3 linked regions of the Drosophila melanogaster genome follow. The protein of the gene in region 1 interacts with the protein of each later gene in a pairwise test. Each region holds a gene or a part of one and is shown in the gene's direction. Other genes may lie near its edges. The genes, in order: CG1598, Shrm and CG42820.

Region 1 (9,490 bases):
AAGTGTGAGTGTGAGTGCAAGTGTGTTGGTATTTGGTCCTTCCAAATTGAGTTCAAATGCTGCGCGACTGGCCGAGGTTCTTGGGATAGCACAAGTTGATACAACTTGGGTAGCGAGCAACGTGGCGCTTAAGTGTGATTCCCTGTAGGCTGTGTGTGCTTGTGTGTATGCGTGCGGCTGCGACACACATAGGTGCGCCGTGTGCCACTGTGTGTGTGTATCTGCCTTGTTGCCCTGTTTGTTTTCCACTTCAACTCGCCTGCCTAAGGTTCAACCAATTTATTCTCTCATCTCACTCTTCGTCCTGTTTTCTCTTTGTCTTCCGCTGTCTCTTGCGCTCTGTGTCTCTCGCTCCTCCTGGAAGCTTAGCACTTTTTGTGCCTAAGTCAAATAATACGCTAGCACATCATTTCACATTTAAATGCTGGAAAAATATGCATAAAGCTCTTCGCCCAAACTTGATTTTCAGTTAGTGTACACTGTACAGGGGTGCGTCAGTAAACAAACTTTACGAGTAGAATAGAACTCATTTTCAGATTAGTAAGACTTATTCTTCCCAAAATATAACAAAACAAACAAACTTCCTTAAAAGTTTCTATGTATAATGATCTGTCTTCACAATCGCAAGATTCATTCGCACACACCATTTTCTCAAGATGGAAAAATATATAAAAACATTCGTGTGCTTATTTATTTGAAACTGTTAATGAAATACCTCAATGTCCGACGACTAACATATAAGAAACAAGAATAATAAAAAAACCCTTTAAAATGTTCATTCACTTCCCCGTAATTTGAAAGGCTGTAGGACTTTTAAGTTAATCTCCAATTACTATTCGTCCCGTTACATAAAAATATAAAATCAACGTTATCCTTATCTATTAATTAAATAAACGCTTTAAAGGTGGCAATTAGGGAGGCACCACTGTCTACATTGACGTGTGTCTGCATGCGTTACTCACATATCTCAATTGGTGTCGCTTGTCTGCTCACATTTGGCGGTTGTCGCTGCTGTTGTTGCTCTTGTTGCTGTTGTTCTCGCTTGTCGTTTGTCTCGGCCTTATTATTGTTATTGCAGTTGTTGCTGCTGCTGCTGCTGTGCTTGTGGTTGTTGTAGTGGGTGCTGTTCTTCGGCAGCCAGCATCAATCTCCGTCCAGCATTTTGGCATCTTTATGTTTCGCTGCTTCTTCTCCTCGATTTCAGCTCTGTTTGTTTGCCTTGCCTTTGGGCCATACACCTCAACGTGGTTGGGTTTATATTTTATTTATTTCGTGCGGTGGTTTTGTGTTTTTTCGCCAAAAATATGAACCTCCTTCGGGCAAGTGCGTGTGCGTGTGTACTCCTGTTTGTGTATGTCTCTGTGTGTGTGTGTGTTTGCCTTGATATTTTAAGTATCCTGTTTGCGCGCTGCCTGCTCCTCCGGTTGCTGCTCCTAATTCTTCTGTTGCCTACTTATTCGCCCGCTTTTCCTCTTCTTCTTATTTGCGTCAATAGAACTCACGTTTACGTTTCTTGTGTTGGTAAATTAACTTTGATTACTGGCTGGCTGGTTGTTCTGGCCTCCTTTTGTGTGTTGTTGTTATTAATACTATAGCAAAATATATAATCCACTTTCGATTCAGGTGCAAATAACAAGGTGCAGTTTACAGCTAATTTATTGTCGCATTGTCATTCCTACTCACTCACTCTCAGCCTCTATCCCTTTCCCCGTTCCTCTTGCTCACTCACTATGCTTTCACACACTTTTACAGTTAGCCTGCATTGGTGTATTGTCCTGCTGCTTCCTCTTCTTCAACTGCTTTAAATTTCACTCAAGTTAAACTCTCTCCCCGCTCGCCCACTCCCTTCTCTCTGCCTAGCCCAAAGCGTTAGTTGTTGTGATACTAGAGCTGTGTGTTGTATATTCCGTGTGTAGCTTTTCAACTGGCTGCTCGGCTGCTGATGCCGTTGTTGTGCTGTTGTTGTGGGCCACTACAGCTTCTGCTACTACTTTTTGCTGCACGCGCCGCCTCGGTTAGCACGTGCTGTTGGCCACGACGTCAGTCAACGACAACCGCCTACGCACTGCAGGCGCCGAATCGGCGACGCTGGAATTTCAATTACAATTTTCACAGACTCAAACAGCCTCTCTCTCGCTCTTTGGCCACAGGACCTTCTCTTTGGCAGTGGTGAGTTTGCCGGTAGAAAGAGAGCGCTTCAAGCTGAGGCATCCGAAGTTTTTGCAACAGTGGATAAGTGGATTATTCAAAAGCTTAATGCTTTCACTTACAGTTGAAAGTTGAAGCCAAATGTTCTGGTTAAGTCCTTCATAGAAAGGCACTAATAAAGCCGGTAATGTTTGATACTCGAGGTAACATCTACAAAATGTTTACTTTTGTACATTGTTTTGTACAGTTATTTAAATGTTTTAATAAAAATAAATAAAAAATTGCGTACACGACTAGGTGCACCTCGCAAAAAGGCATTTAAATAACAATTTAAGTTTAGGTATCCTTATACCTAATGCATTGCACTATTAGAGACTATTACCAGGTCATCAAAATAATTTCGATATTTTAGGTTTAAAGGTCTTTTTATCGCGTTCAACACTGCGTATGATCAATATTCGAAGACGAGTGCATTTCACTTTCCTCAGATTGAAAGTGAAATAAAAACAGATAAATTAAAAAAAACTCATTTGTTATATTATTTACTGAAGATTAATTTGCTAAACAATGTCTCTTAACGCAAAAGAGAGAGCGGGGTAAAGAGATAGAAAGCGAGCGCCGAACTCACCACGCTTGGATGGCTGTGGAAGGAAAGTGAAAGCCATTTGCCGGCTGACAGCTGGCACCCCTCTCCTCCTTTGGACTCTCCGCTCACACCCACCATCCGCCAAGGTGAGTGAGCAAGGCGGTGATGAGAAGGGTTGGCGGGTTCACCTCTGCTCGGATAATGCGCTTTGTGTGCGAATTAAGATTCCATGTTGTTGGCTCCTGCTACTGTGTGGTGTACTTGCGTTTGCACTTGTGTGTGTTTATTTCCCTTGATGCGCCTAGACCTCTCTTTCACTCGCCCTCTCTTTATAGTATCGCACTCCCAACTGAGCGAAAACTAAAGACAAAGGATAACGCAACAACAAGTGAGGAAGTCATAAATTTAGCCAACGGTTAACAGGTGCAATTGAAATGTTTGCCCTTAGAGACAGATAAATGCACTGACTTGCGACGCCTGCAATCGTGTGTGTGCGCATCCTTGTGGCGCCACAAGCTACAAAAGTCCTAGAAACAGTTAAACAGTTATCTAATGGTGATATATCATTTAGACCACCGGAAAACGTATTCCTTAATTGAATTTTGTGTGACTTTTGAACTTATCAACGAGTGCGCTAATTATCCCCAGCAGAAGATCAATCATATTCAGCGCCTGTCGACCCTTGCTCAATTTATCAAGACGTGGCCTACTCACCGCCAAATCCTTGACAGTCTGCTGCAACTGGATGTCCTCGAAGTGCACTGTTCGACGGTTAGGGCCCAATTCAAAGTCACGGCCAACAGCGACGGCCCAGAGCGGTCGCTAATCGAAATTCCGCAACGGAGTGTCGCGTACGGTGGAAATTTATGCAGAAATGCGAGCTGTGAGTCAGCGGGATTTCAGCGAGGGAAAACTGAGTGACGCGCTGTCAGCGGAGCTCGGAAAACTCCGTTGGCAAGACAGCCTGTTGCATGCCACCCGACGAACGCCCACCACCCACAACCCACTTCGGATGAGTGGCAGTTTGGCGTGGCGTTAATAAGCGCCTTCTCCCACGGCAAATCCCCCCAAAGGCCACTTGAACCGGGAGTGCCCACTATGCTGTTGTTTAATGAAAGCTTTCATCACAGGTTGTCCATTAGGTTTGAGTCTAAGCAAACACGTTGACCCTTGGAAAACCCCAAATGGTTAATCACAATACGGACCAGCGTAAGAGAGCAAGATATTCGGTCTTAAAGCAACTGGGAGCCCTACAATTTTGTACCTTTTTGTGGATTGTTAAAAATATTATACACAACTCTTTGACAAACCTATTCTAAGCAAAAAAAAAACGAATGTTTTTGTTTAAATTAGTTCAATGATACACAATAATACATATGTATATATAATTGTAGAAAGAATATTTCGTTGAAGGGGGTAGTTTGCACCACAAATGAAATAATGTTTTTGTAGCGACTGTGAGTTACCCGTTAATCAGTTAGTTAAGCGCTAAATAATAAGAGATATACATTCAATAAAGATAGCGCTGAAGTATGCAAAAATGAAAAGCATTAGCTTTTCAATAAAATGAGTCTTAAAAGTCGATAAATAACGTTAATGGGTATCTGATAGTCGAGGAAATCGACCGTAGCGCTCTCTGTCTCGTTCTTTTTAAGTTCCAGACCTGCCGAAAAGTGCATTTGATATCGAAGGCTTTGTGGCAAAGGCCTATTAATTAAAACTTTGTTTCCATAACGCTCCTTTTGTTAGGTGCCGTGAAGAATTTTAAGGCTCCAGTAAGTCCTTCCCTCGCATCCTCATTTTGGAGCTCCGGCATATTGAGAGTGCAGCAGCGAGGAATGCCATAAGGACTCCAAAACTTTCCACTTGCCACGCCAAACTAATCGGATTTAATTTAATTAGTTGCTCAAAGACAGCGAGCTGCGGAAAGTGGAAAACACCGGCGGCGACGCAAGTTGTATGGAGAAGTGCGGAGACAAAGTACTTTTTCATTACAGTTTTCCAGAACAGGGGAAAGATAGCCGCATGTCGCGCGGCAAATTGTCAGGTGCTAAGCTTTGATAAAGTGAGCCCTCGAAGGACTCGGAGGACTCAAGGGACTCGAAGGACAATGAATATAAAGCTAAGCTCGGCCAGGTGAAATGCGGCGAAAAAGCCCCTAACAAAATGCAGACAGAAACATTTATTAAAAGCGGCGCGCGAGTGCCCATTTCAATGTTGGTTTTTCTACGGATCCAAAACATACATTCTACGTTTATGCGAAGTGTTTTTATGGTTAGATATGTTTTTAAGATAATGTATTTTACAGAAATTAAATTTGCAAATGCAAATTAATTTGCATCAAACATAAAAAAATATCCTCTTTAAACATAGTACCATTAAATGAATTTAGCTTTTTATGACAATAGCTAATGTCGCTTATATAGGAATATATGTACATACCTTTTCAAAGAATTTGTATATTGAAAAACGACGTCTTTTGACTTAATATTTGATTTAGTAACACCTATGTATAAACGCATTTTTAACAAAATTTCCGTAACAAAAATGATCAAAAACAAACGTAATATTACATGTTTGGATAAAATATTAAAAATTAAAAATTAAATCTAACTAAGAAAATCAGCAAACCATGGCTTGGACAAAGGATCAGTTTCCAGATTCAAAACCAATTAACGCATAAACTACATACATACACATTAAAAATTTTGAATTCCTAAACTTTTACACATAAACGAAGCGATATGTCTTTCCCCTGCCCTTTCACCATCACAGGTCAAAGTTTCCCGTTGAAAGTTTAGTATGGGAAGTTGCGGGAATAGGTGCCAGGAGGTGGGGGAGCTCAGGTAACGGTAACTGAAACGTTCCCATCGCTGATTTCAAGCAAATTAGCCGTTCATATGTGTGTGTGTGTGTGGGAGCTGGGTTTTTTGTTTATGGAAAGTGTTATTGTTTGACTTTGAACTTTCCGCTTGTTTGCTGTCCTTGCGCCTGTGGCTGTGTGTGCGAGAGTGCGAGTGTGTGCTTTGGACCAAAGCCGAGAATGGCCCAAACAATATAATAAAATTTAATGCGCTCATATTTCATGGGCCAACAAACGCACGCACGCACAGACAAAAAGCGGATCTCGAAAGCCCAGGGCTGGGCAAATAAATAAATCATCCAGCCAACTTTATCGCTTTATTTTAAAAAGCACTGCCAGAATGATTGAATCGTTTCAGTCGCATAAAACGGATTTACACGCATATGAGGCAAAAACACTCTTGTTTTTTCACCAAGCGATTTGTTCTCAATTTTTTCAGTTCAACTTTTAACAGCCATAAATGGGTTTTCAATAAGCCGTTCTGTATCAAAATAAAAAAATATTTTTGGTTGTACAATATATTTTCAGCTTGGCGATAAGTTAATATCAACAAATTGTCAAGCGTGTGTGATTTTAACGTTAATTGATCTGTTTTTAATTTAGCTGCTTAAACAGGCGATAGGAAAACTTTCTCATCAACTTTGATAACATTTTTCGCATTCAATATCGAGGAGTATGATAAACTTTCTTACGTATTCAGGCCCACACAAGTGGGCACAGCGCAGAACAGAAATTAAGTGTTAAAGTTTAACTTTAAGGTTCACAGTTATCAGTTTTTTTAAATAAATCAACAGAAAAAAATATAGTCAACTGTCTCAACTATTAGATATACATATATGTATATTTATAATTGCAAAAAAAAAGATAAAAAGGGTTTTGTTCAAATATTACATTCATCTTGTATATTTTTTTGATGTAATATCGTCCAAACCAATGGCCCATTAAATATATATATATATATATATATCCCTTCCATCTAATTTTTGTTTAAATACTATACATTTTTAAAACTATATTAAAACTGTATTTATCCACTATCAGTATACATGCATGGAAGCAGTTTTATGAAAACAAACAATTTCTTTTATTTGAGTACATACCTTTGTCGTTTATTAATTTAATAATCCCCGTTAAAATGATCGTCTAAATATATCTGATTTAAGTGCAAATCAAATGTTATTTTCAATAAGTTTTATCCAATGTTTGCAATCCACTCACAATAACATCCACAGAGTCACTCAAAAATGGTCTAGCTCTTGGAATAAGTATTATTTTACAGCGCAGCTTCCGTATTCTGTGATAAGTTGAAATAACTCTATATACGCCGAGTTCAGTAAACGACAAAACTAGGCGGCAATGGACGGAAATCGATGTGGTTTTGGGGTGAAGCCCATAATGACACGAAGATACCAAAAATCGAAGCTATTTAACGCGGACGCCCAACGGCGAAGGTGTTTTCACAACTATTTTTAGTAGTCCATAGCCACTTGGGTTTGTGCTCCCTTGCTGCTCGCATTTTCTCGCCGACACTTGGGTTTTGATAAGCTCGCGATTTGCACAATTAACAGTGATGGGTAGAGCGGGCGCGGGGAACACGGGGACGGGTCAAGCATCCGCGGCACTTATTGTGATTTTCTTGGGCTGCGAGCGCGCTTTGTGCATTTAATAGGCACGATAAAAGCGGCGGAGCTTTGAGCATGTACGCAGCAACAGATTTGAGAATATTTTTTTGCTATTGTTATAACAACAACAATTAGTTGAAACTTATGTTAGTTTCACACCGCTGGCAGTTTTGTTCTCACTTTTGTCAAGTTTATTGAGATTTGCAAAATTTTATTTTCAAATAATTTTCCTTTGGCGCCAAATGAGCATCCATCCCTGGCAGTGCTTCGTGATCAGCTGATTTTAGTGCCTATCAACTTATACGTATGCATACTAAAAACGGTCACTCTGCACGCCAGAAGTCATATTCATTGCTTATAAGCAATTATTAATTTCAACTAATTTCATACGTGTCTCGCTTTAGTGGGCATTATGGCCGACAATTTGGAGCCCCTGGAGCCCAGCCTGCAGAATCTCGTCGAGCAGGACTCCCTCAAGTGGATCTTCGTGGGCGGAAAAGGCGGCGTGGGCAAGACGACTTGCAGGTAAAACAACAACAACAAGCCAACTTTCTCGGTTGATCTAATTAATCTTCGTGTTAAACATAGTTCTAGCCTAGCCGTTCAGCTGTCGAAAGTGCGCGAATCCGTGCTAATCATATCCACAGATCCGGCGCACAACATATCGGATGCATTCGATCAGAAGTTCACCAAGGTGCCGACAAAGGTTGGTGGAAGAATCCGGAAATGAAGTCATTTACCATTGTATAAGCTAAACTAAAGCACATCGCAATTCCTTTTCCGCAACCAGGTAAATGGCTTTGACAACCTGTTCGCCATGGAAATCGATCCAAATGCCGGTCTCAACGAGCTGCCCGAGGAGTACTTCGATGGCGAAAATGAGGCGCTGCGCGTGAGCAAGGGCGTCATGCAGGAGATGATCAACGCCCTGCCCGGCATCGACGAGGCGATGAGCTATGCAGAGGTTATGAAGCTGGTCAAGGGCATGAACTTCTCGGTAGTCGTCTTCGACACGGCGCCCACGGGACACACGCTGCGTCTGATTGCATTTCCCCAGGTGGTGGAGAAGGGGCTGGGCAAGCTGCTGCGGCTCAAGATGAAGGTGGCGCCCCTGCTGTCACAGTTCGTCTCCATGCTGGGCATGGCTGATGTGAACGCTGACACACTCTCCCAGAAGCTGGACGACATGCTGCGCGTTATCACCCAGGTCAACGAGCAGTTCAAGAACCCAGTACGTAGAAACATGTATTTAGCTCGTACAACGCCTAATCCGCATTCGTCCTTCGGCAGGATCAAACTACATTCGTCTGCGTGTGCATAGCAGAGTTCTTCTCGCTGTACGAGACGGAACGACTTGTGCAAGAGCTAACCAAGTGCGGCATCGACGTCCACAACATCATTGTAAACCAACTGCTGTTTCTGCAGAACTCGCACGACTCGTGCAGCATGTGCGCCTCCCGCTTCAAGATTCAGGAGAAGTACCTGGACCAGATTGCCGACCTGTATGAAGACTTCCACGTAACCAAGTTGCCGCTCCTCGAGAAAGAGGTGCGCGGTCCAGAGAGCATCCGTTCTTTCTCCGAGAACCTTATGAAGCCCTACAACCCCAAGGGCGAGCCCAAGGAATAGGATAGCCCGTCCAACCCTTTACCCATCCGTTTGTAAGTTTCTTCCTTAGTTTGTGTGAACAGAAAGTGCGTAAAATAAATTAAAGTTGAGGCAGCGATCCCCGAAGGGATCTGCTTCGACGTGTAATGCGTAGACAACGCTTAACGGATGCAGTATTCCAAACTGGAGAGGGTTACAACGAATGATACTTTCAAAGACCGCCCCCGGCACGCTCCATTTGCATTACGGTGGGAAAGTTGCTGCCTTGCATCTGCCTTTTGTGGTCCAGATACAGCCGTGCGTACCGCAGGTACTCGGTGTTGCCCTGCACAATAGCCGACATGAGCAGAAGGAACTCATACAGGTTCACCTTGCCCTGGGCATGGACATCAATGTCCCGCAGGACATCGTGCATCAGGTCGACGGGCACCTCCTTTACGCCCATCGTTTTCATTGCCTTGCAGCAGTCTGCAATCGACACGTACCCCGTATTGTTATCATCCATTTGCCTGAACTGCCCGGCAAACTTGCGCACTTGGCGCACGCTCATCTTAATGGGAATGCTCATCTGCGAAGCGCTCTCCTTGGTCAGCTGGCCCATCTGGGAGTTAAGAAAAGTTCGCGTCTGGCGGATCTGCTTTTTAATTTGATCTCGCGACCAGT
Region 2 (10,852 bases), 6.8 Mb from region 1:
AGCGAGTGGACAACTTTCTTCACCAAGCTCAACTCCCCTCCATCATCCATGCTGAATTAATGTTTGTGATTTTGCAGATTTACGTCCCTCTTTTCACTATAGTTCATTAGAATGAACTGATTCCATGCAAAAAAGGCGCTAACACGCTTCCAAATAATCAACACGCTAACTGTAAACGTAGTATTGCACACAGTTATCGATAACGGCTGCGTCGTTAGCAACTTAAATTAATAGTATTGTTATTAAATAAGCGTCGATGAGATAGTTTTTCGGAACGGTGGAATATGGAACATGGGGAAGTTTTTTATTTATTTATTTTTTCGTTATTTATAGGTGAACCAGAGAAGGCTTAATTTTATAAATACCTTAAAACTACTCAATTTTCTGAACATTTCTGAAGAATATGTATATTCCTTTTTTACTGGATGATTTCTTAATTACATAAGCCTATAAGCTCGGCATTCCGGAACTCTGAGAACAAACACAATCTGATATTCCAAAGTCATATTTTAAATTCTGCCGCCGATAGTTTAGCCAACCATTAAATATCGATTTTTAAGAGAACTTGATCATAATTTTTTGTTAATATGGTTTTCTGCTATCGATAGGATAGTGCTGCCAGACATAAAAATTGCCAATCGGAAATTTCCCGCCGCGTTTAAACTTCATTATTTTTTAATAAGTTGGCATACCACTACGAAACAATACATTAGCTTAGTGCTGCCGTACTCACACATATATGACTGATTGGCGCCACTTTCAAAACCGGTTAAGCCATATGGCGGTTTCAGCTTTCGTTAAAGTTCTATATGCCGCTGTTGTTTTATGTAATTCTATATGACCGACAGACGTCCTTCCTCGTGAAACTCAAGTAGCTGAAGGAAGCTACAAGTTCAGCGTAAGTTCATGTCACATGTGGGGCTTGATGGAAGACCACCGGCAAATGGCATGTTTTTTGGGATCGGATCGGGTTGAGTTGATCTTTGACTCGATATTTAACATAGACATTTACAACTTTTTTACCTAGAACTTGGCCATTTAGATTTGCAATTGCTGGTTGTTACAACATCCGCTTACAACTTGGGCGGTGGGCAGATAAATCATAACTCAAAACCCGCCCAAAAAAATTGAGTTTTTCCGGGAAGGTGCTGGTGTATACCCAACACTTTCCACACATGACACATGAACTTGTCCGGAGACAGTGACTCCATTAATAATTTTCACACGACCGGCAAAGGGGCCTTGTGCCATGTAAATTTTACAAGCGGCTCTTCCACATTTTCTGCGTTGCGTAAGTAGATACAGGTACGTCTTGGTTTTTTATGCAGCCGCATAATTATATTCTTTATATTGTTTGCGGGGAAACAAGAACTGGAACAACAGCAGCAACAACATTCAACTTTATTGTGGTTTTTGTTGTTACCGTTTTGGTCACTTTACAAATAGTTGAGCCGAGGAGGAAAAAAGCTCGATGGGATCTCTGCAGTTGGCTATGAGCGGGTGACTTGGCAATCAAACCGGTTGTCCCTGCTCCACGGCTCCATCTTTTTGCCTGTGTTCGTGTGTGATTTATAGTTACGCACAAGCGCGCAAATCCAATTAGACGAACTGGCTAACTGACTGACTGACTGACTGACTGGCCAACTGACTAACTGACAATCCGAAGCATGGCCCGCAGCAAATGCCACCAGGTTATAGGACGGCCGCTGGTTCGATTTGATCTGAAGATCTCGGCCCGATCTTCGCCAGACATATCGCCACAGTTGTCATTGGTCATGAGCAGAATTATGACCGAAACGAGACCATAAAATATGTGGAGCTGCTGTGCCACTTCTGCTATTGGTTCTTAAACATTTTAGAATTAGATCAATATCTATCCTCACTTTAAATAAATGTAAATACAAGAAAATATAGTTCTAAATGAGCCTATTTTAAAAGTGTAGTAGTAATAGTGAAATATAAGCCACGAATAATACCTTTAGAAAGAAGATTTCCTTAGGATTTCCTTTAAAATTAGAGTTACTTTAAATACCAATTGATTTCCTGATTTATTTACTGCCTATGCCCCATTTATCTACTATTTACTGTACCCATAAGATACAGATACAAATGGGTCGGCGGGAGACTGAATCTGTTTTCGATGTTTACATCATCGCCAATGGCGGAACTTCAGTGCCCCGGCCATACAAATGTCGTCCATCGTCCGCTGTCCACCGTCCGTCTTTGTTGCATTTTTTTTATTCATTTGGTTTTTCAAAAATACACACATTTGAGGAGCGAACGAAAAACGAACTGCAGCCGCATCTTTATCTAAAAATTGAATTGAAATGTGTGTCATAATACCTTTGGCATGCCGGCCAGTTGCTTGACATTAAAAATGCCATGCCTCCCCTCAAATTTCCCCCCTTCGACCAGTGAAAAAAACCACATATGGCTGAATGCAAATTTGCTGCCATATGGAGCAGAAAAGCCGATGACGTCGTCATCGTCTCACCGAAATTGAAATGCAACTCACATTTGGAGCCCGCTCCTAGCAAAACACTTTGTGTCTCTCATTTTTTTTTATGTTTTTTTTTTTTATTTTCGCAAAAGGGCCCTGGTGTTCGAAGGTTTCTGATTCCCACGTTAAATGGGTCTCCAGTGGCGGTATCGGCACATCGAGATCTGGGTCCCCGTTGCCGATGAGGGTGTGTTCCACACACGTTTCGCACACCTGAATGCTTAAACAGATCGGACCTGGCCACGGAATTGGAATCGGAGCGGAGTCCGGATAAGCGATAACCTTCGGCTGATTTCGGGGCTTTTCCTATGGAAAGTCGAGCCGGTCTATGGCTACGGATTTGGTAACAGCCGCCGGACAATAGACCGAATTTGGTCGGAAAGGGGAAAGAGCCGATTGATTGATAGTCTCGGCACATTCCAAGCTTCCCTTTGAAGGCACTGCAAGAAATTATGACTCTCTTTGTTATCAGCAATTAGTTATGGTTAATAACCAACCATGTAAAGTTACTAACAACAAATTCTAATTAGAAAAATTACGTTTTGCACTTCCTCTCATTCTATAGTTTAAAAATTTGATTCATGTTTTTTAATTTTTTTATTTAAATGAAAATACAGAAATTTTCAGAAAGCCATGACTGCTCAAATCCGAAAAAAGTTATATTTACCAATGAGTTGGTTAAATAATTTAAACAGGAATGTCTGCATTACTCATCGGTGTTATCTACTTTACTAATATTTAATGCCAAACCGCGACTTTTTAACGTGTACACCCCCATCCCCATAAACGTGTTTCGCCCCCTCTCTCTCGCACTTCACCAGTTTGTAACGCTCTTGTGTCTTTTGCAAAGCAAATGCGATTGGATCAACAAGCCCAAAGCGATGATTAATTGGGAATGACGACTGGAGGTGCGAGCCGCGGATTGGGAATACGGATTGGTAGTGGGAATGGGGAGGTGTTATACCATGCCATTGCAGATGGGTCAGATCCCAGTGAAGATCGTCTAAAATCGTTCAATGAACCAAACGGAAATAGAAGAACAGATAGATGAAGATCTATGATATGTCTGGAAACATAAACATCGTGGTTAGACTATAGCCATTGATTGGGCTTTGTTCTGGCTTCGGGATTCTGGCGAAGTGATATTTGCATGTTTGGGCCAACCTTTCGCTTGTACCGTTAAATCTGCGCTCTTAGCGCGGCCATAAACAATAAATTAGCCAAAAGCAGAAACAAAATGCCTCATTAGCACCTGGTTTGCGTGCGATATGCGAGAGCTTTCGATTTAACGGTTCGGTCATGCCCGATAAACTGATTGAGGCCCAATTCGATTTGGCCTAAAGGGGTTCAAGTTCGAATTTAATTAGATTCATTCCTTAGAGCACAGCCTATTATAAGTCGAAGTCTTACTTCCTATTACAATATAATTGAATTACTTCCTAGTTCTTAGAGTTTTAAATTAGTTTTTCTTGCTTTGTTTTTTTATATCCAAATATAGGTAGAATTGTATCAGTTTCTAAACCATATTCTAACCATATATGCATAAGTGTGTATATATAATTATCACTCTACTACAATCTTAATTATAGGGTTGTATATTTTAAAGAAAAATACATTTCAAAACATTTTTCCAAGAACCTTTACTTTGAACTCAACCGAAAGGTACGAACCATTAAAGATTTTTTGCTAGTTTTACTCACAATCTATCAAATCAGTTTATTGAGTCGAGAAAGATTTATTATACAATAAAAATGGGATGTAAGGAATCGATTTATAAAAACATCATATATGTCATTCTATCAATCAAACTTTTGAGACTTTTGGCCAAAAATATGTTTTAATTTATTTATTAATTTATTGTTTTTGAATGATAGCTTTAACCTTTTTTGGGCACATGCTAAAATTCAGAAAACAAAAATATTTTTTCACTGATTGTGATCAATTTGAAGAATATAGTATGAATATGAAATGGACAATGTGAAACTGTGACCATAAAATTAGGTATTTCAATCCTCACAAATATTACTACTTACTTCTGTTAAAACGTTTCATATTGATGTTGCACGAATTACGAAAGGTAATAAATATTCCTGTTAGCTGCAAGCCAAAACGTGCAGTTTTCAAAGAAACATATCGCATTGTTCTAAGATCTTTTTTTGGTAAGGAGTTCAAGTTCGAAACCCCGACTTCGTTGGTGGTCTTGGGTCTCCTGCTACGTCTTCTGATTCTCCTGAGAGCACACACACTTAATTAAAAATAAAAATCAACTTGCGCTGAAAATGAAAAGTGCAAACAGAACATAAATCAACTTTGAGTGAATCAGAATAAGAATCAGAATCAGATTCGAAATCGGAGTCCTCAAGAACTCAGTTTTGAAAGACTGGACCCAACGGCCTTGCTTATCAGCCGTTTTCCCTTGCTTTCCTCATTCGTTGGCTCTTTTAGACGCACGATCTTCTTATTCCCTTTTTCAGCTTTTTCGGGTTCAGTTTTTTTTTTGTTTTTGGCTAAGTTGCCATTTTGCCGTTTGCGGCAACAGGTTCTTGGCTCGCTTCTTGGCCCCTCTTTCTCTCGCGCTCTCTTTGTCCGTCCCTTCCCCCTCCCATTGATATGGATGAGTACTGGACAGCGGCAACAGGTTCTGAGCGAAAAGAGCCGACTCTCTCTCTCTCGCTTTTACCCTCTCCCACTGAGATAAGTGACTTTCAATACGAAATACAAACATACCTGTTTGCTTCGGCTTTACTTGATAAGAGGCTCTAACCCCCATTATTTAGCACTAAATTTACCACTGGGTCTTGGACCCATCTCTCTCTCACACGCACACACATGCACACGCTACACTTGCAGGTAGAGCTACAACAACAACAGCTTAGTGGTGTCTCAAGATAAAGATACTCTCTCTTCGGCTCTCTGGTGGACTGATTTCCAGCTGGCCGCTAACGTGGCCTAACTGAAAAATGCAAGGTATGATCGACTGGTTACAAATAACGTAACAAACCGAAAAAATGATCATGTGACACCAAAATATAATATCCTTAAATAAATAAAAAAACATTGCCTACTTTCTGGCGAATTTCTCTGTGTGCTCCACAAAAATTAATAAATTTTGCAGAAATCATCATCATTATATTAGCACCTGTTAGCTTAAAGAACTTAAAAAATATGGATTTTGTTAATGTTTTAAATTATATTTCTTTTCCCAAATTCTTCAATAAATGTTGGAACTTTAAATTATTAACCATAAGGCATCGGTTATTCCGCGAAATTCTTCCAGCACATTGTGTAAATCTAAAACACACATTACAATACAGGGTACTAGGATAGTCGTGTACTTGGAGTGAGCCAGTAGTAGTCTGCGGCTTTTTCGCAATCGCAGAGAGAGAGAGCCGGAGGGAGAACGGGCACGAGCCCGATTGGGATTGGAATTGCTTGATCGCGAGTTTCAGTCTTCTTTTGGCTCTCGCACCGTGCAGTTCGTGAGGAAAAGCGGAAAACCCAAGGAAACCCAGAGCGTTGCATGCCCCGCGATTCGGGGCTCGTGTCCGTGTACTGTGTACCTGTGTGCCCGCGTGCTCGTGTGTGTGTGTGCTAGCTTGTGAGTTAACAAAAAATGAAGCAACCGAAAATGCACAAAAAATTAAATGCAGTTTCTACTCAATGAAAATGCTGTGAATAAGTTTAATCAGCTCTCAAGCTCGTGTAAAAAGCAAGGGAGAAAAAACAAACAACAACAACAATTAGTGACCAAAAGCACGAAACGGCACAAAAAACGACAAAAACAAAAGGTGTCGTGTAAAAATGCGACCGAAAAATTACAAAATTCAGCAAACATAAACAAAATAAAAAAACCCGTGTACAAAGATCAACCTTCAAGGCTAGAAGAATTCTTCCGCCTTAAAAACAGAGCTTTGTGTTGCCTTTTAGCGGGTGGCAAGAAGTTTTTGATTCTCCCTCTTCTTTATCTTCATCGTATTCTTCTGCGTCTTCTCATTTTTTTTTTCGTGGCTGCTTCAACAAGTTTTCCCCCCAACAGCAGGGATTTTCCAACCAGTTTTTGGCGCTTGCCATTTTCCGCGCTTCAAAACTTCTGCCCCTTCTTCTGCTTCTTTTTTCTTCCTTTTGCGAGTGAGAAAGAGTTGGGAAGAAAGAGCGTCAGAGAGAGACGGGAATATAGACAAGGTGGAGCTCAAGAGCAGCTGCACATTTGGCATGGGTCAGTTTAAAAGACGAAACCATACTGATCTCGTTTGCATTTCTACACTTATAACCATAAAACCTGGCTTACAAAAATCCCCCAACCTCCCCCATTAAAAAATAGGTGTGGGGCATGTCGGTACATGTTTTGGATTATTTTCGACGGGTGCCACCAGTGAGAAAACACATTTGCGGTAAGAAACGAAATTCATTCAGCAAATGTATCTTTGAATAAGTGGTTCGTGTGACGACCAAAGCAATTACATAAGCTAGTGCAACGAAAAGATTCAGACAACTCGAAATTGAAGGTGTTTTCTTCTAGAATTGATTAAGGAGTGTTAGAACGCGGAACAAAAGAAGGTTGAAAAAACACTAATGCAATTGAAAAGCTGATAAGGCAGGTAGAGTCAACTAAAGACAAATGGAAACAATTAGGTTAGTGATATAGAAAATGAACAAAGGTGCAAGTAATAGAGGTGAAGTGGGATGCTAAGGAAGCTCATAGATGCGAGCTTAATACGTTTATATTGAATAAAGATAAGCCACACGTTTTATAACTGACTTCGGTTGTTAGACTACCGTTTAATCGACCAACTAACATGATACAACGTATTCAATGTAATTCAAATGCAGAGTTTGGCCTGAATTGGCCCAAACAATAACTGAGAGGCAGAGGCCCCAAGACAGTGGAAAATTTGCATAGACCACCACAAAGCTAGGAGAAAACAAATTCTCGAGTGCTAAAGAAATCCAATTCAGATTCTGCCAGAGATAACGGATGATAAAGAGCGGGAGGGGGCAGTAATAATAATTCAAATCCCCATCGCCCAGGTGACAGTTCTGCACTGCAATCCAGGGAAAGTGGGCGTTAATCGTTGACTCGGTGGGAATGGGCGGGTCCCATTCTGGGGGGAAGGAACTCGGAGCAGGCGTAGGGTTTCCATGTCGTTTCCATGTGACGACTTATCAACTGTCCCGACGGCAGGAGAGACGGGCTGGGGGGATCGCTTAGCATCAACATCAAATACTACTCAAGAATTTCAAAGCAAACTTGTTTGCTCAACTTGCCAGCGATTTGTGGGAGGAATGGGGGGTTTGCTACACAGAAAGAAAGTCAATGTAATTAAGTAATTTCGCTGGAAAATTGATCGATTTATTATTAGAAAACAATAAATAGAATAGCCGCTGGTGTTAATAACTTTTCTTTAATCATCGAAATGCCTTCTAAAAACTTAAGGGCCGCACCAAACGCACTCAGATTTTTTTGCCGTGTAGCCAGGAAGGTAGGTAGGTGGATCTGGTGGTAAAGGTGGAGGTGGAGCAAAGACCGAGTTCAATACACTCGGCGGCATTCAGTGACGAACATTTGGCTTTTGGGTGTTTTGAACTCATTTCGAAATGCGTAAAATTTGTTTTGTCTTTGCGTCTTTTATGTGATTGCCGTTGGAAGATTGATTAAATTATAGAGATGTGTTGTCGAGCGCCAATTGGTTTGTTGCCGATGATCTATTTAATTAGGAAGGCAAACAAAAACATCCGTGGAATGCGCTGCGAGGCGACCTTGCCATATTTGACGACTGGCTTTTCTATCTGCTTTCCACTCCCAGCCAACTTGAATTGTCGTCGTCGTCGTCGTCAACTTCATTGGCAACTCGTTTCGTTTCTGCCTCATATTTTTCACCCAGTTGCCTCTTTGGGTGTAGAGTTTTATCTTATCGGTCGCTGTTACCGGCTTGGCAGGCTAAGACTAATTATAATCTTATCTGTCACAACTAAGTAGTGCAAACATCAGTGGAACTGTAACCGAAACAGAGACGACCCCGTGGAAACATCTACAGCTGCGAATTTGGGCTGAGATCTGTTTCGCTGGAGCTGTAAATTCCTCACATAGTAAGCTGAAATTTCGGGAAAACAACATGCAGAGTGTTTTCCCAAATTTCGCAAAAATGTATGTGTGTTTGTGACCGCCTTGCCAGCTAAGCAAATAAACAGTGGCAATGATATAGGGGCGAACACCATCGCCAGAGGAATTCAACGTGTCCGAAAAATAACTTCCCAAGAAATTGCCATTTCATCACTATTTGAGATAGAATGGTATGTATGTGAGGTGGATTTGCGAGAGGTAAAAGCCACAAAAGTTGTTTACGAAGCGATCAAACTTTCTAAGACTGCAGGAATGCTTAAGGTGAATTTCATAAGCCTTCCCGAGATATTCTTAAACTAATACTTGTATTTGCTTTGAAAACTATACGGAAATACATAAGCTACTGCTGGCAAATCATTGGGGCTTACTGCCCAGTTTTATTGCACACATAATTTACAGATCTTATGTAGGTAGATTCAATACAAGCAAGCTAACAATGGATAATTCTAAGGAATATTCTGGTAATGAAAATACAGTCCGTTTTTCTTACTTTCCTGGGGTTTCCGAGTTTTTACAAATTAGTACTGGCATTGCAAAGAGTGCGAGGAATTCGCTAAGCAAATATTTGTGCTCCATACCACTTGTACGTGTGTATTTGTATCTGCCATATCCATACAACAGATACTTTCCACCTTGGGCCAGCATCTTATTGTTGTTGTGGAAATGATAAGCGAAACGAACGACCTTGTTTTTGAAGCCAACGACCTTCGCAATTTACCAAACCAATTACAACTTCAACGGGCAAACGAGAGAGATGTAGCATCCTGCTGCGAGATTGTGATCTGGGATCGAGGATGTGGACTCTGGGATTTGAAAGCCGAAAGGCGAAAGCGGAGATCCGACGGAAGTAAGGTGGAACAATTGACGGGATCGCGGGATCTGCTTAGGTAGTTTTTTTTTTTGGTTGACAGGATCATAAACAAATGCCGCTGCCGAGCCTGAAGAATGAGTTTCAAATCTGCGCCTTCCCTCTCTTTCACTTGGCCTCCTGCTGGCTCTTTCACTCTACATGGGGCATTTTCGCGCGGGTTTCTCGAGCTGTGGCTGTGGGTGTATTCATTTGCAACTACCAAGAAGCGCGGCTTGGGAATATCTTTTTCCCATTTCGTTTTCCATCTTTTTTGTTATTTGCTGCAAGCCAAGCGCGGCGGAGCACTAAAGAAAGCGTTGAACTTGCAGCAGGTTGCAATTGCCCATGTTGCCAGGCCCTTTTTTGCGGAAATCCAGCGAACGAATTGCATTTAATTGTAAATTTATGCGTCTGCTTCCGCCCCCCGACCCCATCCCCATCCCCATTCCCATCCCGCACCTTCTATAATTTTCTTTTGCTGTGCACTTGTGTAGTGTGAATGCCTCGCGATCTTCACCTTTGTGTGAATGTTTCTGCAGCAGGTGGTTGTGTGAGAATTGACAAAATTATAATGAGTCGACAATGTTGAGAATGCACACAGAGAAAAAAAATTAATTGAAATATATATATACTAAAGTAAATAAACAAGAATTTTGCAAGTTTTGCATATATGAATTCCCAATAGTTTTCACATCGTTATACTTTAAATTCCCTAAATTTAGTTGCTAATATGCAACATATTGCGATTCTATATTCTTGGGTGGATTTTTCCAAGTGTGCCGCTTGAAGCCACCAAACCAAACACCTCCGCCCAGGTACATAATCATAACACATAACCGAGCAGGTAACAGTTGCCATTCATCTTTGCGCTGCTTTGTTACGCTTGTTAGTGGCTGACACTATGGTGCGGAGTACAACTTGGATTTACGACGACCTTTCGGGCCGCTTTGCATGCCGCTGGCTATGGCTAACAGGCATCAGGTATCCGGGCATCTCAATCTCGGATCAGTCCTCCTAGGAATGCGACCGACCACCTATGCAGCGGGTAATATTCGGCAGATACATTTAAGCTGATAGGCAAACAGTTGGCTAGCTGAAGTGGAAACAGGGGTCACAGTTCACGAAGAGAACCGAAGGTTGCCAAAACAATATCTCTGTGATTTATTGTCCTTTCAAGTGATGCTCGTTGCGGAGATTAAGATATCAGCAGTCAAATAGGAAGTTGTTGAAACCGTTGAGAATGCTATGTTTTCTTTGAGCATTGTATCTTCTGGATCGGCGGAACTTTATTGCTAATAGAGATCAATGCGTTTCGCTTTGGCGGGGTTTTAGCCATTTGTTGTGACCTCGCCATCGATTGGCTGGCTGGCCACTGAAACCC
Region 3 (10,742 bases), on another chromosome or scaffold:
CTACGTGGACTCTTAGAGGTTCCTCCGGGTTCAATGACTTGGCATGGCCACAGCAAGGACACTCCGTCGCCATCCTTGATCCTTGCTCATTGTTAAACCTCGGAGGTGGTATGTAGATGGGCATAATACGGTCTTCTGGTCGAAGAACATAGTACACCGGTGGAGGTTGGTTTATGCTGCGGGAGAAATGACGAAACTGGCTTTGCGAATTCTTCCGCTTGGGTGTCGCATATTCCTCGGGTCGGATTCTTAAATTCCTTCGAGGAGGAGGGACATCCGTTGGAGGTCTTACATTCGGGGCAATGGAGACCGATCGACAAGGTCGCTCTGTCGATGTTCTGGAATTGGGGAACAAGGGTATCGTCTGCACCGAAATGGGCATGGCCTGCATCTGTCCACAGGAACTGGGCTGTTGGGACACCAGCTGGATCATAATGGTGTTCGGTGGACCTGTGCCGCTGGTGACCCTCGACTCCATCGCTATGGGAGATTTATCACGAGCAATTTGTAATCATTAATATCGCAAATAATTAGTTGTGTGACACCTACTGCGATTTAATGTTATATTTTGGAGTTTTATATTTCGATATGTATGGTATACGGTATAGCGGATGGGTTGATTAAAAACCAGGTTAGTAGTGCGGTAGTGCTATCACCAACAGTTAAGGGTAGTATATTAATATAAATATAAATGCGTAATTCTAATGACTTGTTTGCGTTAAGAATGTGGGGTTCCCCACGGTTAAGTATTAGGTATTTGAATAGAAGCCCCCAAATTTAAATTTCGATTATAAACCTTACTGTCCTAGTTTTGTACTATATTTAACTTATTGATAGGAGTGCTACCCAGTTTGGATTGTGGCACGCGGCATGACCTTTACGACACATCCATATAATCAAACTATTGCGTCAACAAAACTTAGGGGCGCGTACAATGCGCTGAGATACAGATACAGATACGGTGGGCGATACAAGGTGCGATTATTTTGAAACGATTTCATGTCGCTGCCAAAATAGAATTTCGCACAGGCTTCCCGCCAACGGAGATAACTGCTATTGATGAAAGCCAATATCAGTGCCGGTCTGGGGTATATAAGCTTGCGAATTCGCCCAGTTAAAGCACACTTACGAAACCAGTGGGAACTCAATTGCACCATGAAGTCCGGTAAGTTAGCTGAGCAAATCGAAAAGGAATCCCCATTTGAAATATACTTCAACCCTTTGCCGATCCCATAGCACTACTTTTGATCTGCCTTGCCTTCTTCGTGGCGCTCCTAAGCACCGGAAATGCGTGCGATCCCAATTCTGACAACCAGCCCGACTGCAGCGACGCATCCAACGTGCAAACGAACATCCGCAACTTCTGGGATCCCACTCGCTACTGGTGGTGTGAGTCCTCCACCTCCACGGCCACGGCTGTGTTGTGCCCGTTGTCCACTGGATTCGACCCCACAAAGAAGGAGTGCGTTTCATGGAGCGAATGGTCTTGGACTGCTTACTGTTGATTGCATTTTTAATAACAACAAAAATGAAAATATATGGCAAACTAAATGATTACATACATTGTTTGGATTTTTAAAATATCTCATGTTCTTGCGAGTATTCGAAGATATGGGAAAATGTTATAGAGCAACCTAGATTGGTATATAGAATATTTTGTTTCTGCTCAGTCGCTTTCTATAGGATGTTGAGTACAGTTGAGTGTTAACGAGTTTCATTATTATTTGTAAATAACATTTTTGAGATGTTTTTGTCCAAATGATATCTTGGAAACCTATAAAGATTAGACAGTACTCGTATTGCTACTAATTTGCATTTAATGCAATAAAATGTTTATGAACGAGAGAAAAGTAAATTATACTTTATCATATAAAGTATAAACAATATACTTTAATTTTACAAACAACTTTATTTTTTAACTAGAGCTTGGTTTCAAAATTTGTTTGTTTATTTCAAAAACACTGTGTCTCAGTGTGTAAAGTTTTACAGGGTATAAATTGTCTAAATAGGAGCCGGTCAATTCAAACAAATCATATGCAAATTTTTTGTTCAATAATATTTTAATATCATAACTAAGTATACTACAACACTTGGTGAAATATACTTCTTTGTTTGAAAACGAATTGTACGACGGCGTCAAATGTTCGAATTGTCGAGATACAGATACCAATCGTGATCATGAGATTATTTTTAAACGATTTCATGTTCTTTAAGAAATAGAATGTATAGCTCCGATTGTCTCAGACAATATGTCAGGGAATAGATAGCAGGTGGCTATAAAATGTCGAACGTTGCGTTCCAATCGCATTCGGTATTAATCACTCGAACAAACCACAATGAAAGCAGGTGAGTTTCATTGATGACCTCACATCGCTGAAACCATTGAGATGCCAATAGCGGAATTCTGTTTCAGCTTTAGTCCTTCTCTTCCTGACCCTCTGCGTTGCCATCTACGCCGACCTTGACTGCAATCCCGATGGCAATGGTGAGCCCGATTGCGTGGGACGCTCCGGAGAGATTTCCCGTGACTTCTGGGATCCAACCCACTACTGGCAGTGCTCTAGCACCGGACAGGCCGAGCTAGTTGCCTGCGAGCAGAACACTGGATTCGATCCGAAAACTGGAAGCTGCGTCGATTGGAGCGTTTGGCAGTGGTATCCTCCATGTTCCGAAGCATCCACTTAAGCAATAAACTTCTCTTGCAGTTTATACGTTTTTCATTAACTTTTTTTGGTTCATTTGTAATGGTATTTAACTGGGAAGATGGGCTTGAATGAAGTCTAGAATATATCTCTAGATTTCTCGGATCTTTATCGAATTTTTAACAGAGTATTTAATGCTTGAAAAGGTTAATGTTCCGGGTGATTATCTCGTTGGGAAGTGTAAAAAAAAGGGTTAGTCCGAGGAGGAATTAAATAATTGATCTCACAGACTATTAGCCCTCGAAATGTACAAGTACGCAACTTGCATTTTCTCCATTTTCGCTTTATGGAACTTTTGGGGCGTCAGTGCCAAAAAGCAGGATACTTCCACAGGAACAAATGAATTGCCAAAAGCACCAATGCCGTATTATACAATCGAGAATATTGATATGCACCAGCAGCACTGGTTTACCTACAATTCGCTAAGACAAAATGGAACTTTGTGGAGAATTGGTAATATGGAGCAACGCTTAGAAATGCGATTGCAGTCCTTTCAAAACCAGATGGAAACTAAACTTCGGGCTCTAAAGCAACAAATTGAACCCTACATGGAAAACGTTAAAATGTCCAACAAAATCAAAATGTCCGTATTCAAGAAGATTGGCTCCCGGCACTTTTACTTAGAAAAGCAAAAGAAGATGCCCTGGGATAGCGCATACGACACGTGTCGTCAAATGGGCGGTCACCTGGCGAATATCCTCGATGAGAAGGAGCTGAATGAAATATTCTCAGAGGAAACCAAAAAAAAGTACTGGGTAGATATCAACAGCCGTGCCAACGATGGAGCGTCCTGGATTTCTACACTATCCGGAAGGGATGTACCATTTCTGAAATGGAAGCCAAATCTGGCCACAAATATACATAACCATTGCGTGTATATCAATTCCAATGAAATGTACTTTGAAAATTGTGCCAATGATAACTATTTTGCTTGCCAAGCCGAGCAATGGGCCTGAATATCGAGCATTGATTTTTAGAACTATTTTAAACTTTAAATGTGACTTTGATAATAAAGGTTTAAAAATTGAACTCCTTTAAACTTTAATATGTATTTTTTTTAAATCATCAAAATTGCAATGTGTCTTTAATAATAAAGCTATTAACTTTAGGCATTTTATATTTTTTTTTTTCAATACACCATAGTAGATTTTCATTTTTTTTAATTTTTCCAGCCTTTTTGCTTTTCACAGTGATGCTTTAAAACGGTTACATTATCATTAAAAAGCGTGACAAAATTAGTTGAGCTCATTGGAAGTTCTTTAGCCAGATTGGATCTCACACGCTTGAAATCTTCCAAACTGGACATGTACGCATCTAACCTCTTATACCTGTTGGCATTATGGAACCTTTGGGATCTCAGTGGTGGGCAGCAGGACATTCCGAACGGAAAGGCTACATTGCCAAGTCCACAAACGCCGCAAAATACAATCGATCAGATTGGTATTAACCAGAATTATTGGTTTACATACAACGCGCTTAAACAAAACGAAACATTGGCAATTATTGATACAATGGAAATGCGCATAGCAAGTAGCTTGCTGGAGTTTAAGGCCCAGATGGAAATCCAGCTTCAGCCGTTAAAGATTATAATGCGACACCATGCATCCAACATCAAAGCGTCTAACAACATCAAGATGAGACGATTCGAGAAAGTTGGCTCCAGACATTTTCACATCGAGAAGAATCTAATGCAAACTTGGTTTGAGGCATATGTCACATGTCGTAAAATGAACGGTCATCTGGCGAACATCCAGGATGAGATGGAGCTGGATGGCATCTTGGCGTTAGCACCCAACAATAGCTACTGGATAGATATATCCAAACTGGTTGAAAATGGCGGCACATTCGTCTCCACCCTAACCGGACGAGAACCCTTCTTTGTCAAATGGAAGAGTAATCAGGATACAAAAAAAAAGAATCAATGCGTTTACATCTATGCTAAAGAGATGTCCTATGATGAGTGTTTTGAAAAAAAATCTTTCGTTTGCCAAGCAGACCAGTGGGCCTAAACATAAAGAAAATATTGTTTTGTAGCTTGAATAAAAAAAAACAGCTCGTTTAATGATTTTATTGTATATGAACACAGTGTAGACAGGTCTGCACTGAGTATTATTTCCAAATTCACTCATTCAAGCTATTTGCAACACCCACAAAATTTACCAAGTTTCTTAAATTGTTTGTTCTTCGTTTTACTTGTGAATTTATCCACTTGCTAGGAACATGGTAAAGAATACAGGTGTTGATTTGGGACTACCCGTGGCTAGTTGGTATCGTGGTCTATCGCTCGATCAGATGCAGGCGGCCGATGAGCTGGGAACGGCACTGCAATTCGATATTAGGTCCATTCGGGATTGTCTGCTGCGCCTGGGAGTGCAACCTTTGATCAGAAATCGTGAACTCCATAGAATTTGGCGTTTCAGTCGTGGCCAGAAACTGGCCTTTCTCTACTTTCTATTCCAGGAGCACTACGACACCGGCACTTCGTGCGGAAAGTACTCAGTTAATGGACAACTTCTGCTCTCGGCCATCGCCTATCTGGATTTGCCTGCAACTTTTCGAGCTCTAGACAAAGTGCTACCTCTACCCGGTGTTTTATGTGGGCAAACCAAGATACAGATGAAAAATCGACAGATTAATAATGTAAGCTGCTAATTAGAGTTAAAACTATTATATTAAAAAGAAGTTTTGGTCTTTTGCCCTCTTTCAGAATCGCTCTGCTCGGCCTTCCATCATAATACCGAATTCTAAGACCTATCCACAAAATATAGATGAAGAAATGCCACTGGATCTACCGGCTACATTTCGAGCTCTGGACAAAGTTCTTTCCTCGCATACAACTAAAAAGAAACCATCGTCTTCGCGCAAAAGCTACTACTTTCAAAAGCAACCACGTCCCAAAACCACTCCCCGTCGGTCTAATCAGTTTTTGTCGGATTCGCCGCTGTTAAAGATTCAGATCCCTAACGAAGTGGGCGATCCCAAAGAAGATGAGGACCGTTGGTATGCCGACTTCCAGTTTCATCCCATCCAGCGAACAGTTAAGGCAGTTATCAAACACGAACTGTGTCACCTTTTCGACCACATAGACGAGGTTACCACGGATCCTGCACAGAAAGCGAGGGATCTGTGCGGGTTCCATGAGGAAACTCGAACCCAGGAGCGACAGGCGTTCCTGCAAGAGCAGCGACGACGCTATTTGGATATGATTGACTTGGAAGGGACCGCAAAGCGAGTGAGTAATCCTATTAACAAAATTATCTATAATTAATTTATGAATAATTGTTGACATTCATTTCTCTGGTGAAGCTTACAAGGGAACGGATTTTGCATCACATTAATCGCGACGTGGATGAGTACCTTCTAAAGTTTGGTGACAAGGGCTGGAGTCCTGGTGTGCCTGCTTTCCGGAAAGCCGGTTGTGTTGCTTGCAACGAATTGGTGCACGTAAGCTTGGACACTCCTCCCCAGGTGCTACTCCTCGAAGGTGAATGGGGACGTCTGTACGACAGGAGTGGTGCGCTGATGCGACTCTGCGCTGGTGAGGATGGCGAACCAGATGTATTGGCGGAGGAGGAGCAGGAGGAGGAGGAGGATTCTATTGCCATACCTGAATATTTCACGTCACCCGGAGACCACAAGCCCTTCGCCTTCAACTATCCACACGTTTTCAAAAGGAACAGCAAGCAGTCTTTGGACACAAATGATGTCGTTAAGAAGTCCTTAATGGAAGCACTCGGTGGCCAAAAAAATGAGCATCGACAAGGAGTCCTTGCATCGGGGCCGATAAGGAGAAGTCACATCAACGAAGCCGTGTCCCGATGTGTGAGAAAAATCTTTGAGAAGAGTTTGCTGGCGGTGCCGACTACGCCGACACCCAAGGATTCCATCGAACGCCTCGTCTACAATCGCGAGCGAATCGATCCCGATGATGACAAGTTCATGGACCAAATGCTAAGCGATGGCTTTGAAATCTTGCGTCGCGACAGCAAACTGGTGCTGGCCAGCCTCCACAATGGCCATCAAATTCCGGAAGTACGGGAATGGATTTGTAGGAGATATGGTAAGCGATATGGTCCACAAAGCCATGCGGATTTCGAAAGCTACAGACACAATATGGCTAAATTGTCGGAGATGGAAAAGAAATTGATTCCGCTGCTAACTAATATAGATCCGCTGATCGTAAAACAAAATCCCATTCCATATGCACTGCACAAGGAAATTATGGAAAAATCCAACAAATTTAAGAAGTCATTTCGCGATGAAGTCCTTCAGATCGTCCTGAAGCAATCCCGTCTCTGCTGGCAGGCGCAGCACAGCCTGCGCTTTGTCAACAGTTCCAGGATTCGTCGTACCTTTTTTACTTATCTGCCCAGTTCTGTCAGGAGTATAGATCCCACCTTCAGCTACTACTTAGCTCGTAAAAATGGCTAAGCACACCTTAGCTCCTAAATCAGGATTTTTTGTAAGAACAAGATTTTACAATACCCGATGTAGTGGTCATGACTGACTGACATTCAATTATTTGAATCTCTAGTGCGTAGTGATAAGTTCAAGACTAAATTGATATGTTTTTATACCTCTGACTATTTTTACCATTTGACAAGTAGAGCTTCTGAATATAGAAATGTATATGTTTGATGTGTTTTTTCTATTTTATTAAGGGATATTTGGCATTAAGCTATCATAAGATTTAAAAAAATTTGTGGACGGCTTTTGTCTGTGCCTAGCCGACCGTTTATGTGTTCCATCCTTGTCTAGGGGAGTGCTAACTTGCTCTCCTTCCAAACAACACGTTTGGACCACACACTTGTCGCGCTTTATAAGCACTCCATGCGGAAAAAGAACTTGGGAATTTTAAGAGCCCATTGCATGAAAATTAGTGATATGCATATAACAACTTTTAATAATGTATTAAAACATATTTATGCAATGTGTATTTATTATAATTTTCCATAACTCATAAAAAAAATTATTCTGGCTAACATTGACACTGAAATTAATGGGCTGATTGATTTCCCGTTTTGGGCACCTGCAACGTGACATTGACGACAACTCCAAATGACCACAAGGGCCACTGGATGACCCAGTCATTAACCAAACGACCACGTTTTACCACCAAAAATTGATTAATCCATCCACGTAGTACCCGAAAAACATATAAAAAGACAGGTAATGAACAGCAAAGTTATCAATCAATCAACAACGGTTCCCTCATAAGTTCGTGTATCTCTTGCGTCAAAGCCAATATGCGCAGCTACGTGAAGTCATCCTGTTCCTTGCTGGTTCTGGTCCTGGCACTTGGAGCGGTTTCAGCTCAGCCAGCACGGCTGGCAAAGCAACTTCAGAAACAGCAGGCAGCACCCTATCCATCCGCCGACGAACTGAAGCCGGAGGTGCCATTCGAGGAAGGAGTTCCGGATCAGACATATGGACCACCGGATCTGACCTACGGCCCACCGCCTACCGATGCAGTTGAGCAGCTACCCAGCGATGAGGAGCCGCAAGACTTTACACCCGATCCGGATGCAGAGGAAGTTCAGCCTGTCCAGCAGGCACCCGCTCGCCTGACCAAGCAGATTAGGAACGGTCCACGAGCTCAAGGACTGATTCTGCTCTCATCGAGTCCATTGAGAGTGGCTAATTCCAATGGAATCCCATTCCCAGTGACCATTCAAGCCCTGTGGTAGGAATACTAAATAACATCAATTGTACTGATTTTTATAAACATTATATTAATTATTGTCTTTGTTACCGATTGAACTATTAAAGAACATTTGTTGATACACCGAATTGATGTATTTACAAAACTTTATCGAAGGTCCCATTTCGGGACCAGTACGGCTAGGGGTATACATATATATGTATTTATAGTTGTATAATTACAAATAATCGAACGATAAAAGTATGCAGATAACATTAGCTAATTTCGGTTTTTGGGAAATTCTTAGCAGTTGCTTTGGAATGATCTGCCCCGACCTAGACTACATAGTAAAAGCTAAATAATAATTTAGTTAAGAATACTACGTAAAATCACGTTTGGCATTGTGCGGTCATCGAGTTAACACAGAAATAATCTCCAACTGACAAACTGAACAAATGTTGAAAAACTTTCTACTTAAAATGCTAGTTATTGTCTGGTACGATTGCAGCTGGCTGATAACAACAAAAAAAAATGCAACTAATTTGCCATAAATATAAATTAATCACACTAAAGCACCGCCACTGGACTGGACCGATACCAGTTGGGAAATGGTAAACAACTAATGGTAAACATATTCGTAGTCTGAGTGTAACTACATAAAGCCTTCGTCATAAATTCGCACACATTTGTAGGCAGAACTAGCCAGGTTCTGTTTTCGATTCGCTTATTTCGATTAAACTCAGTGGGTTCTGTCGTTCAGGATTTGAGCTAAGCTGGCCCAGGTGCCAAACACAAAGCCACAGAGTCCAAAGATCAGGATTAAAACGTCCTTCCATAGCATCCAATTGAAGCGTCCATAGCCAACGTTGTAAAATGTAATAACTTCAATTATGGGTGGTGCAATTAGGGCCAAAGCTGAGCTGCTGACGGCTCCTACCAGCGAGATAATGGAGCCTAGATTGGGAATGCAGGTGGCCAGCAGGACTGTGAAATAAAATACGATGATAATTGGAACATTTTAAATATTGACTATCTATGCGTACAGGTAAAAGTGACCAGAACAACTCGCAGCACAGTTGCTGACAAATCCTTGGCCCTCGTTGTATCGAAATGACTTCGCACAAAGGGCTCCACGATGTTCACAGGCACATAAAACTGAAGCGTATACGAGAGGAAGATGGCCACCGCCATTGAAATCCGCACCAACTGGGAAAGTCTAAATATGTAAAGAGGAAGACAATTAAAATATTAGTATTGCAGTCTGGGAATATCATTAAAAATTGTTATAACACCTTTTGCTAGCTTTATTATCATGTAATTTAAAATTATTTAGACAGTAAAGTTAATAACGATCTTAACTATCTGAACTATCAATATTTCGAATAGCGCTTTTCAAATAGCAAGAGCATGTAGATTATGTATATCAGCATGAGAAATATTAAATCCCTCTGTCTTACAACTAAAACCGATTAGCAATGGAAAGTTTAAGGACTTACGTGTCGCCCTGCGGCAGATTTAGGGTAATGCTGCCCTCCACGTGTTCGCCGTACTTCAGGTAGCCGAAGAACCCGACAGCTGTGTACAAGCAGGCCACGATCACCATGCCCGTGTTGAGGACACCTGTGGTGCCGCCAAAGTCCTCGGGTGTGCGCATATTGTTCTCCAAGGGCAGGACAACACCAATTCCCTCGAACGCGTAGATGGCGGTTCCAAAATATAGAGGCAACGTCGCCCAAGTGGCCACCGGCTTGACCGTGTGCACATCCGGCAGATCCACCAGCATGTACGAGAATGTAATGGCCAGTCCGGCAACTGTGAGCAGGGCGGCAACCAGCGAAACGGGTGTCAAATACTTCAGATTCCGCACCAGATTCAACAGGATCATGGGTCCAAGCATTATAAGCAGGTAAATCTGCACAGGCATCTTGTAGTAGTGATCCATAACGTCCTTGATATTCAACGCCACAAAGAGGAAGTAGACGCAGCAGAAACCGATTTGCGTGATAAACAAGAACGTGGTAACAATTCGTCGAGCCAACATGGAGTATCGTCTTAGTCCCAAAGGTCCCGACTCAAAACTGCAGTATGCCACCTCCGAGAAATCTAACGATGGCTGCTGGAATCTCCGGCACAGCTCGTGGGAGCAGTTGACCAGCATGTGCATGCAGTGAGTGCAGATGGCTCCCATGATCATTGTGCCAAAGAGTCCCACATAAAGTCCGGCGTTCTTAAAGGCATCCGGCATTGCCAGAATGCCCGTACCAATGTTGCCCTTCAGCAGATGAACCAGGGTATCGAAGTTGGACGTCGGATGCTCCAGGTCGCGATGATGGGTGGGGTTATAGGACTTATCCGTCGATCCAATTTCATCATCTCCCGATCCAGAGGCTGCTGCGTGC

What was found.
Region 2: the proteins of CG1598 (region 1) and Shrm interact in a two-hybrid assay, tested with the Drosophila melanogaster proteins (one large-scale study listed by BioGRID).
Region 3: the proteins of CG1598 (region 1) and CG42820 interact in a two-hybrid assay, tested with the Drosophila melanogaster proteins (one large-scale study listed by BioGRID).

Annotation. Positions count from the first base shown.
Region 1 is NT_033778.4:7,537,732-7,547,221, reverse strand, and holds CG1598 (uncharacterized protein), read left to right. Parts: upstream 1-7,525; 5' UTR 7,526-7,631; coding exon 7,632-7,744; intron 7,745-7,807; coding exon 7,808-7,925; intron 7,926-8,009; coding exon 8,010-8,450; intron 8,451-8,509; coding exon 8,510-8,848; 3' UTR 8,849-8,990; downstream 8,991-9,490. Other genes in the region: Gpo2 (glycerophosphate oxidase 2), read right to left, coding at 9,039-9,490. UniProt on the Drosophila melanogaster protein: ATPase required for the post-translational delivery of tail-anchored (TA) proteins to the endoplasmic reticulum. Recognizes and selectively binds the transmembrane domain of TA proteins in the cytosol.
Region 2 is NT_033778.4:14,302,196-14,313,047, forward strand, and holds the start of Shrm (shroom), read left to right. Parts: upstream 1-5,946; 5' UTR 5,947-6,098; intron 6,099-10,852. Other genes in the region: tej (tejas), read right to left, coding at 1-50. UniProt on the Drosophila melanogaster protein: Binds to Rho-kinase Rok and targets it to the apical cell cortex where it mediates apical constriction.
Region 3 is NT_033779.5:8,386,476-8,397,217, reverse strand, and holds CG42820 (uncharacterized protein), read left to right. Parts: upstream 1-4,819; 5' UTR 4,820-4,922; coding exon 4,923-5,342; intron 5,343-5,409; coding exon 5,410-5,934; intron 5,935-6,008; coding exon 6,009-7,133; 3' UTR 7,134-7,337; downstream 7,338-10,742. Other genes in the region: CG13385 (uncharacterized protein), read right to left, coding at 1-478; Peritrophin-15a, read left to right, coding at 1,156-1,165, 1,237-1,505; Peritrophin-15b, read left to right, coding at 2,337-2,346, 2,414-2,685; lectin-29Ca, read left to right, coding at 2,948-3,658; Acp29AB (accessory gland protein 29AB), read left to right, coding at 4,007-4,711; CG42819 (uncharacterized protein), read left to right, coding at 7,949-8,389; CG13384 (uncharacterized protein), read right to left, coding at 9,083-9,327, 9,387-9,559, 9,840-10,731.